Linked DNA regions of Nothobranchius furzeri. The main gene of each other region encodes a partner of the protein of the gene in region 2 in a complex. Links are inferred from orthologs where the notes say so. Each region holds a gene or a part of one and is shown on either strand. Other genes may lie near its edges.

Region 1 (4,087 bases), on a different chromosome or scaffold from region 2:
AGGACACGGGGGGGAAAAAAAAGAAAAAAAAAGAAATCGGACCTGGGAGCAGCTGGCGATGGTGCTGGTGGGAAGACCAATAGAAGGAGCCCAGCCGACGTCTCTGACCCAATCACTGTGCGCCTCCAACTTCTGGTCCTCTTTCCACTGACCGTCTTCCTCTCTGCAGGCAGAACATTATTCAGGCCACAGAATATTAGCTACATCTGACGTTCACTGTTGAAAGTGTTCTTTTTTTTATCCATACAGGATGACAGATTTTCAACAGCAACTTACTTCCAGAGTTTCACCAGGTTGTCACATCCGCCAGAGACGAAGCGTTTGACGTAGTTTGGTTTCTGACCTGATGGCTGATTGATCAGGCTGCCTGGAACTACAGCAGGAGCCCAGCTCACTGCATTACAGCCAATCTGAAGCAAAAAATAAAGCTTTTAATTATTCTAAAGATACACTTCACGCCCCAAAAGACACAGAAACACTAAATTAGAAAAGGTGAGACAGAATAAAGTTTAAAAGATTGGTGACAACTTAGGAAAACCATTTCATTTTTAACTCACGGTGTGTGCGTTGCTGATCTTCTTGACGTCCCACTGCTGATCACCAGTAAATGTGAGGAGGGAAATTGCTCCATCTGAACTGCCACAGGCTAGGATTAGACCAAATTCATACGGACCCCAGCAGACTGAATTCACTGCAAACACAGAGACAGAGTTAAGGACGAGATCAAGTTGTGTGGAAAACTATTCAGTCAAACTGATCTCTCAGCCCCAATATATGAACATGAATTTCTTTGTAATTTCTTAAAAAGGAAGGATCAATTAGAAAGGGAAAAAGAAATGTACTCAAACAAAAGAGAATGTTGTAGAAACAGAACTTAATCTGAATATTTCATTTTTCTAAAGGTGTTGGCAAAAAAAAAGAGAACATATCTGAAACAAGACGTGTACTTTGGTGCATTACACTGACCTGTCGGGCAGAAGAAGAAATAAAATTACAACATTAAGATCAAAACATTTGTTATCTGTAAGAAAAACGGAACTTCTTCCAGCATTACTAGCACCTGAACTTCTTTCAAGAAGGCCACATGGATTAGCAGAATGAGGAGGAGGAGCACATTTAAACCACTAGAGGGATATTCAATTCCGGTCCTGGAGGGCCGGTATCCAGCACATTTTAGTAGTTTCTCTGCTCTAACACACCTGATTCAATGGTTGAATCACCTGTGCAGCAGCTCATCTGGCTCTGCAGAAGCCTGTTAATCACCTGCTGATTGAAATCAGGTGTGTTGAAACAGTTAAAACTAAAACATAATGGATACTGGCCCTCCAGGCTTGGAAATGAACACCCCGGCACTAGAATAATGGAGAACTCTACCTGATGACTCGTGTCCAGTGTACTCATACATCTTGTCCCAGGTGCCGTTCTCCTCCTTCCAGATGACGACTTTGCGGTCGTATGAACAGGATGCTAGAATGTTGCCGAACATTGGATGAGCCCACGCCACCTGCCACACAGGGCCCTCGTGGCTACATGATGCAGGACACACACACACACAAATAAATAAATAAAAATACATTACAGAACAGGTGAAGATTAAATCTTTAGGAAATAAATGGAAGTGTATTGACATTCACTTGACAACTCTACTTACGTAAATTTCTGTGCATATTCCAAAGCTTAGATCTCTTACCCTCTGAGGTCTGCCACCAGGATCTGTCCACCATTGCGGACGTCAAAGATCTTAACGGTGCGGTCAGAAGAACACGTGGCGAGTCGAGTCCCGTAATAGTCCATTTGGGCATCATGCTGAAACAGACAACAAAGCAACACCAGGAATGTTGGTGGGGATTTCTATGGGGCAGCAAAAGCACCAAACAATGGAAGCATGACACCTGGTTTATTCATAAATGAACTGATGGTGCTAAACTGAAACCCATTCCTTAAATCTTTCACCATCACATAACAAATGTGCGGCATAAACTGCATCATTTGAATGTTTGTTTTGGTTTTGATTTCCTTAAATTGAAACATTGAGAACATGATTAATCTTATCTTTTTAGGGAGAATGTGAATACGTGAATGATTTCGGCTAGATTTTCCCTACAACTAAAACGAAAATGCAAAACACGCCGATTAAGTGAAGTTTAAAGACTATTTAACAAATTTTCACAGTCAACACTACAGAATAATCCACATAGCACTGTTTCTGTAATTATTACACTATAGCATCTGGTACAGTTAAGACAAACATTTTGACTGAACGATCTAAAAGCACTAAACTAATTAAAACAATGTGCTACTCCTTTCTCAAAACACACATCCCAACAGTATTACATATTTAAATTAAAAACTGCTGCTTTACACAGAACACTTACACTTGTGGTACTGAATGAAGATAAAAGCTACAGCCGCTAACTGTTAGCTTTTAGCATCAGAGATAAAAATAAAACTGGATAAAACATAAACACTTACGATCATATCCTCGTGTGAAGTGTCCACCGTGTTTATAACGGAAACCTGCAATTGACAAACAAATAAGAACAAAATCAAGCAAATATAAAACTATATCCAGACAGATTAGCCTCCTGCCGTTAGCGATCGTGCTAATGGATTGACAGCTACCAAGACTAGCCAGCAAAATGTAAACATAAAATCAACATCCTAGAATATTTTGAGCTGAAACTAAAACAAAAAGTGACGAAATTCACCATGGCTGTGGCTAAACCGTGTAAACAAGAAGCCCCTGTTCTCTATCGACTAACTTCACAAGGTTCACAATTCCGACGTGGCAACAAGTACAGAAGCCGTTTCCTCCACCGAGTCCCACCTCACTTCCTACCGGGTAAAACAAAACGCCAAATGATAGTTCTGCGTGAATTAAAAAAGAAGAATAATAAAAACTTTAAAAACGCTTCATTTAACAAACAAACAAACAAAAAATAATCAAACAATAAAAAGGAAACAGTTTATTTGAGCTAAAAGCTAAAATTATTGATGGAAACTTAAATGTACAAAGACCCTCTATACATAGAATAGAATAGAATAGAATACCTTTATTGTCACCATACAGGTGTAAAGTGAGATACAGAGCATCTCCTACTCAGTGTAAAACAAACATACTTGGGACACACACACACACACACACACACACACACACACACACACACACACACACACACACACACACACACACACACACACACACACACACACACACACACACACACACACGCACACACACACAGTACATTTACACCTGTCTGTAATCATATTATAATTACTAATAAAATAGTAACATGAATTCACGTAAACAAATAGAAAAAGACAGAAAACAGAACACATCGATACATTACATTCCCTTTATCATTTCAATACAACATTAAAACAAAAAAAAAACATTATTTTAAGAGGAACAAGTGCTTCTTTTTCAGGTCTCCTAAATATCAACTGGTAATAATAGTCAATTTTTGAAGATGTCTCTCAGATTGTGATTTTTGGACAGCAAATTATCACGTCGTTACCCCAGATGACCACAAGGTGACGCCATAAACCCACAATAGTCTGACCTGACAGCTGTTTTTATCCTAACCCACCAAGGACCAGGTTCGGCCTTTTACTGAGGTCCTTGCTGCTGCAGATGAGGGCTCAAGCAATTCTGTATGACCCTCGCTACATAGCTGCAATAAACACGTTCGTCTTCCTTAGCGAGGCGCTGATGGGTGTGGATATGAGGCACCAGACCACGGTAACACACACACACACACACACACACACACACACACACACACACACACACACACACACACACACACACACACACACACACACACACACACACACACACACACACACACACACACACACACACACACACACACACACACACACAAATTATTCCATATAAATATGAAATATCAACCTGACTGATCTTTGAATGTTTAATCAGAAGAATATAGTTACTTTTACTTGTTCAGGGACCATAAACACACTTTGTATTACTGTAATTCAGACAGAGTCAGGTATATAGTTTATGAAATTAATTTAATTCTTTTACAAAATTAATATTTATACATGACAAGATATGAAT
Region 2 (3,625 bases):
CCCCGACACGGAGACCCCCTGGGCCAGACACCCGTTTGGACGCCACCTGCTGGAGACTCTGTAAGTTTGTTTACTAAAGCAGCTCCCAGATCGGCCAAGTTACACCTGATCTGTGTGTGTGTGTGTGTGTGTACGTGCGCACTGATCCCCCCCCCCCCCCCCCTCCCCAGTCTGGACCACTATAGTCAGATGAGTGATGTCCAGACTCTGGCCATGCTGTGCAGCGTCTTCAGGTCTCAGGCTCCACCTGACAGCTACTTCCCATATGGGCACCATTCCTCACGCTTCCCATCACACCATTCCCGATACGTAAGTCAGCTGCTGGATCATCCACATAACAGACTTTCACTTTAAAATTCCTGATCCAGTCTTGTTCAAACGTCCCTTTTTTTTGTCACTTTGCTGCCCGGTGACAGAGCGTGCGTTGAGTCTATGGTTTTGATTGGTTAGGTGTGTAAGTAATGATTCTAGTATGAAGCCACCTGATAGGCTATAATGGAAAAAGGAAACTTATTGAAGTTTTTATTGATACAATTTTTTCTATTGCACCACATTGACGGTGGATGTAAATGTTTACTGAGTGATTGTCCAGCCCTAGTCAGAACTTAGCAGGCCGAACTACAGTCTCTGTAGGTCTTTACAGGACATGACTCCATGTTTGTGTTGATGTCTCAGCCCAGCTACACATCCAGTTCAGTCACCTCGGGTTCCTGCTCCAGCACCTCGGACTCCACCACAACCAGCACCTGGAACACAGGTGAGACTCCGTGGCGCCACACACAAAACTCATTCTGATGTCTCAGTTTCCTGTCAGACTCTACTTCTTCCTGTTTTCAGTCCGAGATCCAGAACACACTGCACCCTGGGGTGAATCCTCCCCTGATGACTATCGCTATGGTAACCAAGGTTATACCGATCCTCGAGAACGGGAACGAGAGCTGCACGACATGAACAAGAGGTTAAACAGCTGTGTCTGATCAGTCTGGTTTCCATGGAAACCCCCTTCAGAATTAACCCAGCATCCTTAGCATCTTCTTGGGAGGGGGGTGAGCCTGTAGGAGCTTTGGGAACAGCTGGAGCAGGGAGAAGGTCTGGAGGTTAACCTGGGTGTGGAGCCTGTCAGCTGTTGATGGATGGGGGTCAGTTTTTAAAACTCACAAGAGTTGCCTGAGACTCGACAGATTATAATGTATTCAGCCAGAAACAAACCGGGGTTGGTGAGACATCTAGATGTTTCTCTTCAGATCTGCTTTCATCTCAGTAAGCTCCAATAGAAAACCAAATAACACGCCAGAAGGATGATGTCACTTCCTCTGCTTGTGCAGGTTGCTGGACCCGGCCAACACGCTGCAGTTCGATGACTTTAAGAAATGTTATGGAGAGATTTTATACCGCTGGGGTCTGAGAGACAAGAGGGCCGATGTGCTGAAGTTCACGTCCAGCCCCCCAGAAGCCCACAAAGGCATCGGTATGGTCCAACTCACTCTAAAGCCTCCGTGTGTGTTTTCTGATGCGTTAGAACTGTACCGTGTGTGTGTGTGTGTGTGTGTGTGGGGCCTCTGCAGAGTTTGGTGTGTACTGCTGTCACTGTCGGAGTCAGGCTCGTGGGACTCAGTGTGCCGTCTGCAAGCGTTTGACCTTCCAGTGCGCCATCTGTCACGTGGCCGTCCGAGGATCGTCCAACTTCTGTCTGAGTTGTGGTCACGGAGGACACACCAGCCACATGATGGACTGGTTCTGGAGGCAGGAAGAGTGTCCAGCTGGCTGTGGCTGCCACTGCCTGCTGCAGAGCACCTTCTGATGTGAGGGTATGAATGGGTATCGGGGGTATGAAGGGGCACTGGGAGGGATGGGGGGTATGAAGGGGCACTGGGAGGGATGGGGGGTATGAAGGGGCACTGGGAGGGATGGGGGGTATGAAGGGGCACTGGGAGGGATGGAGGATATTGGGAGGTGTTGAGGGGCACTGTGAGTGATGGGGGTACTGGGATGGATTTGGGGGGGTACTGGGGAATATTGAGGAGTATGTAGGTGCACCAGGGGTATGAATGGGTACTGGGGGTATGTAGGGGTACAGTGAGAAGAATGAAGTGCCTTAAAGAACAGCAAACAGACATGAGACTAAACTGCAGGTCATGTGTTACTGAGAGCTGCTTTTAGATATCCCGCTATGGCTTCACATTATAAATGTTTTATAAATAGCCTTTCCTCCTTTACATACTCTACACTGATTTGCTTATTCATTTATCTGTTTCCTTCTACTAGTTTCTTTTCCCTTTGCTTTTTCTTCTCAGCTTTTATTTAGTTGTTTTTTAAAAGGGCTTCTTCATCTAATGTTCAAACTTCCATAAAGGTTCACCGCTGAGATGAGAAGTAAAAACCGTGGCTGCTGGATCCATGAGAGCTAAATTCAAGTTTTCTCCACTCCCTAACAGTTTCTCCACTTGTTAAATGAGGAAGGACGATGCGGCTCTGGGGGCTATTTTTCCTCCAAATCTGTTCAGAAACAGATTGACGCTTCAGAGGAAACAAATATTTGATGGAATTTTCTCTTAGTGTAATAAAAAAACAACAATTAGAACCTAAACTTAATTGGTTTAAAGGTAGAGACAAAATGAGCGCAGAAAACAGGAGAAATGAACCGAAATAAACAGCGGAAATCAAAATTATAAAAAGCAAAAAAAAACAACTTCTTTTTATTTTCATGTTGAACGATATATATTTGTATGTCTAATACTGGGATACTTAAACAAGCCTTTGTGATTGTGTTTAATGCAGATGTTCCATGACTGCAGACAAACATGGAGGCGTCGTAAACACTGCAGCCTGATGGACAGACCTGTCCTGAGGTCTGATGGGATTCTGACTGAAGGTCACCAGAACTGCACCACAGAGTCCAGCCGGCGCCGCAGGAGAAGGATGTCTTCTGTTACAGCTTTGTTGCTATCAATATCACAAGAAGAGACTGTTGACATCACAGCATCAGCACCGTTTCAGACCAATCACAGGCCTGGAGATGATGTCATAGACTGGAGTCACATGACCCAGTGAGTGTGAGATGACTGTATGCAGGTGAGAGAGCTGAATAAATTATGATTTACACAACTTGTTAGTTCTGATGAATCCATACACGCCACATGACCTCTGGGCAGAGCTTAGTCCACAGAGGACACACCGGGTTGGTGGGTCAAAGGTCATCAGTCTGGACTTTGGTAATGAGTTTCCACACGCAGACATACACATGCAGTCGTCGTGACAACAGATCCTCTGAGAACTGTTTACTGGTCTGAATGGTCAAACAAATCAATTCCGCCATCGTTAAATCACCAGAACCGAGAGTGAGGTGAACCCAAGTCACTAGGAAACCCAAACAGAACCGGAGGGGACAATCCAGCAGAAGCTCCAGCAGCAGGAACTCTCAGCAACACCTCGTCACTCTCACTTGGTTCGGGAGGAGTTCTAGTCCACTCTTCTTTCAAATGTTCAAGTTTCAGACATTCAGTTCTGCTCGGCTCATTCTGATTCCACCACAGCCGGACTGGACTGACTGGTTCTGTTCTGGTCTCTGGACAGAGTAAAAATCATGGTTGACATGTTTTTACAACAATTAAATGAAACGATAATT
Region 3 (3,589 bases), on a different chromosome or scaffold from region 2:
TTATAAATACTATAAAAATACATGCATAAAATATTTAAATTTGTGACTAAACACTTCAACCAGTGCTTCCTCAGAATGGAGTGAAACAGGAAACGTTTGCTATCAGATCGGAGCGCTACAATTATGCTGTTTCTCAAGCCACCCAGACTGTCTCTAAAAGTAAATATTAACTTTCTTGCTGTAAAGTGAAAACACCCAACTGGCACTGTCCCCTTTAGGGGTCCCACAGAAAATCCCAGAATGCTCTGAAGACGTTCACTCAAAAACAAAAGTGGTTCTTTTTTTAATTCAATTTTGCTGAAATGCAAAACCTAAATAAAGAAGCAGCTCATATAATATTTTCATACATTTGAATCTTCCTGTTCTTGCTTCGACTATCACTTAACTGATGTCTAAAATCTCACCTTAAGGTTGAATATTTAAGTTGTACAGAAACCAAAGGCGGATAGGCGGATTGGTGCTGCATTTACGGTGATGAGGGCGTTGTATCGGTGAAGAGAGAGCTGAGCTGGAAATCGAAGCTCTTGATTTATCGGTTGATCCACGTTCCAACCCTCATCTTTGGCATGAGCTTTGGGTAGTGGCCGAAAGAAAGAGAATGTGGATACAAACGGCCAAAATGAGGTTTCTCTACCGGGTATCTGGCCTTAGAGATAGGGTGAGAAGCTCTGTCATCCAGGAGGGGCTCAGAGAAGATCCGCTGCTCCTCCACATCGAGAAGAGCCAGTTGAAGTGGCTTGGGCATCTGTTTAGGATACCTCCTGGATGCCTCCATGTTGAGGTTTTCCCATTTGGGCTGAATGGCTGGGGAGAGGGAAGTCTGGGCTTCCCTACTTAGTCTGCTGCCTCCGCGACCCGAACCCAGATATGCAAAAGAAAATGGATGCATGATTGAATGGCTGGCAGGAAATCTTGGGTGGATAGATGATGGATGGATACATAAATGAATGGATGCATAGGTGGATAGATGCATAGATGGATGGATGGATGGATGGATGGATGGATGGATGGATGGATGGAGAAACCAAAGTGTATTGCTTTAACAGTGTGTTGATCACAGCCCCAGATTTGCAAAAACGTGAGAATCATCTGCTGCCCCTTTGTTCAGAAGATAAAAATTTCAGATTGTACAACCTTATGTTGCTGAGCTTTAGAGACATGTAGTTGGGCTTCTTGTTAACATTTAGTCACTAAAACCCCCAACAAAGTATTAAACCTTACATGAAACTGGAGGATAATTTTATGAAGCTCCACCTACTTTGAAGACACAACCATAAAATCCTTTATGACCTGATTGCAGTAGAAACAGAAAATACATCCTCTTCCTCTGACCGACAGGTGACCTGAACCTGAACGTGGTTGCCATGGCGCTGTCCGGCTACACCGATGAGAAGTCCTCCCTGTGGAGGGAGATGTGCAGCTCTCTGAGGCTGCAGCTTAAGAACCCCTACCTCTGCATCATGTTTGCCTTTCTGACCAGTGAGCCTGGAGCCTATGATGGCGTGCTGGTAAGAAAAATCCCAGGATGGTGGACCTTTAAAGCTAGTTGGTGGAAAACACAACACTGGCCCTTTTGTTTTGACTTTATATAAAGCTTTATTTATTCTTCACACAGTAAGACACTGGCGGGTTATACCTCAGTGATCTTTATATGGAAAATTCTCAGGTGTGCAGGAAGAGGTGTTTCACATTTCACCGTAACACTTAAAAGTTGTTATGTAAAGAGGAACCTTTGCCCAAAGCTAAGTGCTAGTTTATGTTCTTTACACCCTTTCTGTTCTGTTATACTCAGGCTTCTGTTTGGTATTATTTTAATTTATCCTCCTTACCTTTTTCAGGTCAAAACAAGTCATTTTTTGCTCCTGTTGGTTTAAAATCATTAAAGTTGTTGTGTCTTTTTAAAACAAGAATTCTGCATCTGTTTCAGTACGAGAGCAGCGTTGCCGTGAGGGACAGAGTAGCGTTCGCCTGTATGTTTCTCAGCGATGCGCAGGTAACAGCAGCTGATCATGTTCTGGCAGGACTGCATCGTTGCTCCCGCTAACCTTTCTGTGCACGTCGTCGGAGTCTGTTCACGTAAATCGGGTTTATTTTGCTTGTTTTGCTGCAGCTGCCACATTACATTGACAAATTGACCAATGAGATGAAGGAGGCGGGAAACCTGGAGGGCATCCTGCTGACGGGCCTGACTAAAGATGGAGTGGATCTGATGGAGAGCTTTGTGGACCGAACTGGAGATGTTCAGACGGCTAGCTTCTGCACGCTGAAGGTACTCTTGGGGTCGTAATGAAAACACAAAACTGTGGACCTCAATCCCGATAGTAGGCAGTCTAAACAGGAAGCTCACATTTTTTCTCAGATTTTAGAAGGCGCTATATCAAATACAGGCCATTTACCATCTATTTATTAAAGACTTGTCTATAAGAAATGTCGCCAACTCTGCCTTGATCCTTTCGTAAATGAGCACACGATCTGTGATTGACGTGTGTATGTAGGTCGATGTCAAATGCTATTGGCTAATGCTGAGCAGCAGTCAATTCAAATTGCGTGGGGCTCTGCAGGACGGAGGTTACGCTTAGCTAAAAGAAATAGCATTACATTATCGCCCAGCCTTTCCACTAGATGTGTGCGGGGTGATCAACGTAAGGAACTTTTCTTTCCAGATGCTTTACACTGCTTTTGTGAATGACTTCCTGTCTGGCTCGATCTGAACGGCGAAGTTTGACGCATTCTGTAAGTGTAAGCAATGCGCCCCCTACTTCTGAGACGCTTCCAAAATGACTCTTTGCGGTCAGTGGAAATGCACTTATCCGCTTAAACGATGGCTAATTGCTGAGTTCTAGTGGTGTGTCCGTTAAGGTGCCAGAGGAGTCAGAGTTCCCATCACTACTGCGTACAATGTTTCACGGACGTTACGCATTGCCTACGCACCTGGTGGAAAGGGCCGGTCACAGTACAGGGTCACTAATCACTTTTACGGGTTTCTAAAATAAATAATTTCGTGAAATGGGGGAAACTCTGGATTGGTTTTAACTTTTTTTACATTGACTAATCAAGGCTACAAATACTTACTCCAAATACCTGGCCTGTCTCGTTTATCAGGGTTCCCCGGGTGAAGTGTTGAAAGACCCGCGAGTTCAATGCTGGATCGAAAACTACCGCAACCTGCTGGACGCGTGGAGATTCTGGCACAAACGGGCCGAGTTTGACATCCTCAGAGGCAAGCTGGACCCCAGCTCCAAACCTCTCGCCCAGGTAATAAATATAAAAGTCATCTTTGAATTGTTTTATTTTTTGCTTTTCAACATTTTATCTTTTAGTTAATTTAACAGAAAACTGAACACGGTGACTTAGGGAAAATTTGTCACAAGTGTTTTTAAATGATTTAGTCGCAAAATATTTACCAAATTCAGGTTAAAGATTAATTAGCGAATGGCTGTCCTCATGAAACAGCTTTGTTGTGTTTTGACAAACAATCACATGCTTTTGGTTTCTTTGTGATGCAGAACCAGAACACTCAAAGCCGTCCAGGAGTTTTCTTTAACATGTTACACATTAATACGTTCACAACCGTGTTTGTTAACCCTCA

Evidence for each region.
Region 1: the proteins of wdr59 (region 2) and sec13 are in contact, whole or in part, in a cryo-EM structure (PDB 7UHY), measured with the Homo sapiens proteins. The link is inferred for Nothobranchius furzeri from reciprocal best matches to the Homo sapiens genes WDR59 and SEC13. Residues at the interface, in NP_085058.3 of Homo sapiens: Ala525, Tyr526, Gly527, Asp531, Ala532, Asn533, Ile534, Pro535, Phe536, Pro537, Arg538, Thr539, Ser540, Gly541, Ala542, Arg543, Phe544, Cys545, Gly546, Ala547, Tyr549, Val551, Phe553, Thr554, Arg555, Met557, Ala644, Gly645, Lys646, Val647; in NP_899195.1 of Homo sapiens: Val4, Ile5, Asn6, Thr7, Val8, Asp9, Thr10, His12, Asp14, Met15, Ile16, His17, Asp18, Ala19, Gln20, Met21, Asp22, Tyr23, Tyr24, Gly25, Leu28, Val42, Pro59, Trp61, Gln62, His67, Pro68, Tyr79, Ser105, Asn107.
Region 3: the proteins of wdr59 (region 2) and mios are in contact, whole or in part, in a cryo-EM structure (PDB 7UHY), measured with the Homo sapiens proteins. The link is inferred for Nothobranchius furzeri from reciprocal best matches to the Homo sapiens genes WDR59 and MIOS. Residues at the interface, in NP_085058.3 of Homo sapiens: Tyr871, Arg876, Glu877, Arg879, Ala880, Glu881, Leu883, Lys884, Pro889, Pro890, His893, Lys894, Gly895, Ile896, Glu897, Phe898, Gly899, Val900, Tyr901, Arg906, Glu908, Val909, Arg910, Thr912, Phe922, Gln923, Ala925, Ile926, Cys927, His928; in NP_001357005.1 of Homo sapiens: Asp705, Trp710, His711, Arg713, Ala714, Ile718, Ser721, Lys728, Pro729, Leu730, Ala731, Gln732, Val733, Phe734, Val735, Ser736, Cys737, Asn738, Phe739, Ile744, Lys780, Pro781, Leu782, Pro783, Leu787, Cys788, Leu789, Gly793, Pro795, Gln819.

The regions. Positions count from the first base shown.
Region 1 is NC_091743.1:73,558,785-73,562,871, forward strand, and holds the start of sec13 (protein SEC13 homolog), read right to left. Parts: upstream 2,842-4,087; 5' UTR 2,712-2,841; coding exon 2,709-2,711; intron 2,518-2,708; coding exon 2,473-2,517; intron 1,807-2,472; coding exon 1,691-1,806; intron 1,527-1,690; coding exon 1,375-1,526; intron 692-1,374; coding exon 558-691; intron 411-557; coding exon 277-410; intron 164-276; coding exon 43-163; intron 1-42. UniProt on the Homo sapiens protein: Functions as a component of the nuclear pore complex (NPC) and the COPII coat. At the endoplasmic reticulum, SEC13 is involved in the biogenesis of COPII-coated vesicles.
Region 2 is NC_091749.1:66,253,782-66,257,406, reverse strand, and holds the end of wdr59 (GATOR2 complex protein WDR59), read left to right. Parts: coding exon 1-60; intron 61-170; coding exon 171-309; intron 310-675; coding exon 676-757; intron 758-837; coding exon 838-958; intron 959-1,325; coding exon 1,326-1,468; intron 1,469-1,565; coding exon 1,566-1,801; 3' UTR 1,802-1,802; exon of another isoform or gene 1,803-1,808; intron 1,809-2,778; 3' UTR 2,779-3,105; downstream 3,106-3,625. UniProt on the Homo sapiens protein: As a component of the GATOR2 complex, functions as an activator of the amino acid-sensing branch of the mTORC1 signaling pathway. The GATOR2 complex indirectly activates mTORC1 through the inhibition of the GATOR1 subcomplex.
Region 3 is NC_091745.1:63,844,546-63,848,134, forward strand, and holds part of mios (GATOR2 complex protein MIOS), read left to right. Parts: intron 1-1,338; coding exon 1,339-1,508; intron 1,509-1,927; coding exon 1,928-1,993; intron 1,994-2,110; coding exon 2,111-2,269; intron 2,270-3,102; coding exon 3,103-3,255; intron 3,256-3,589. UniProt on the Homo sapiens protein: As a component of the GATOR2 complex, functions as an activator of the amino acid-sensing branch of the mTORC1 signaling pathway. The GATOR2 complex indirectly activates mTORC1 through the inhibition of the GATOR1 subcomplex.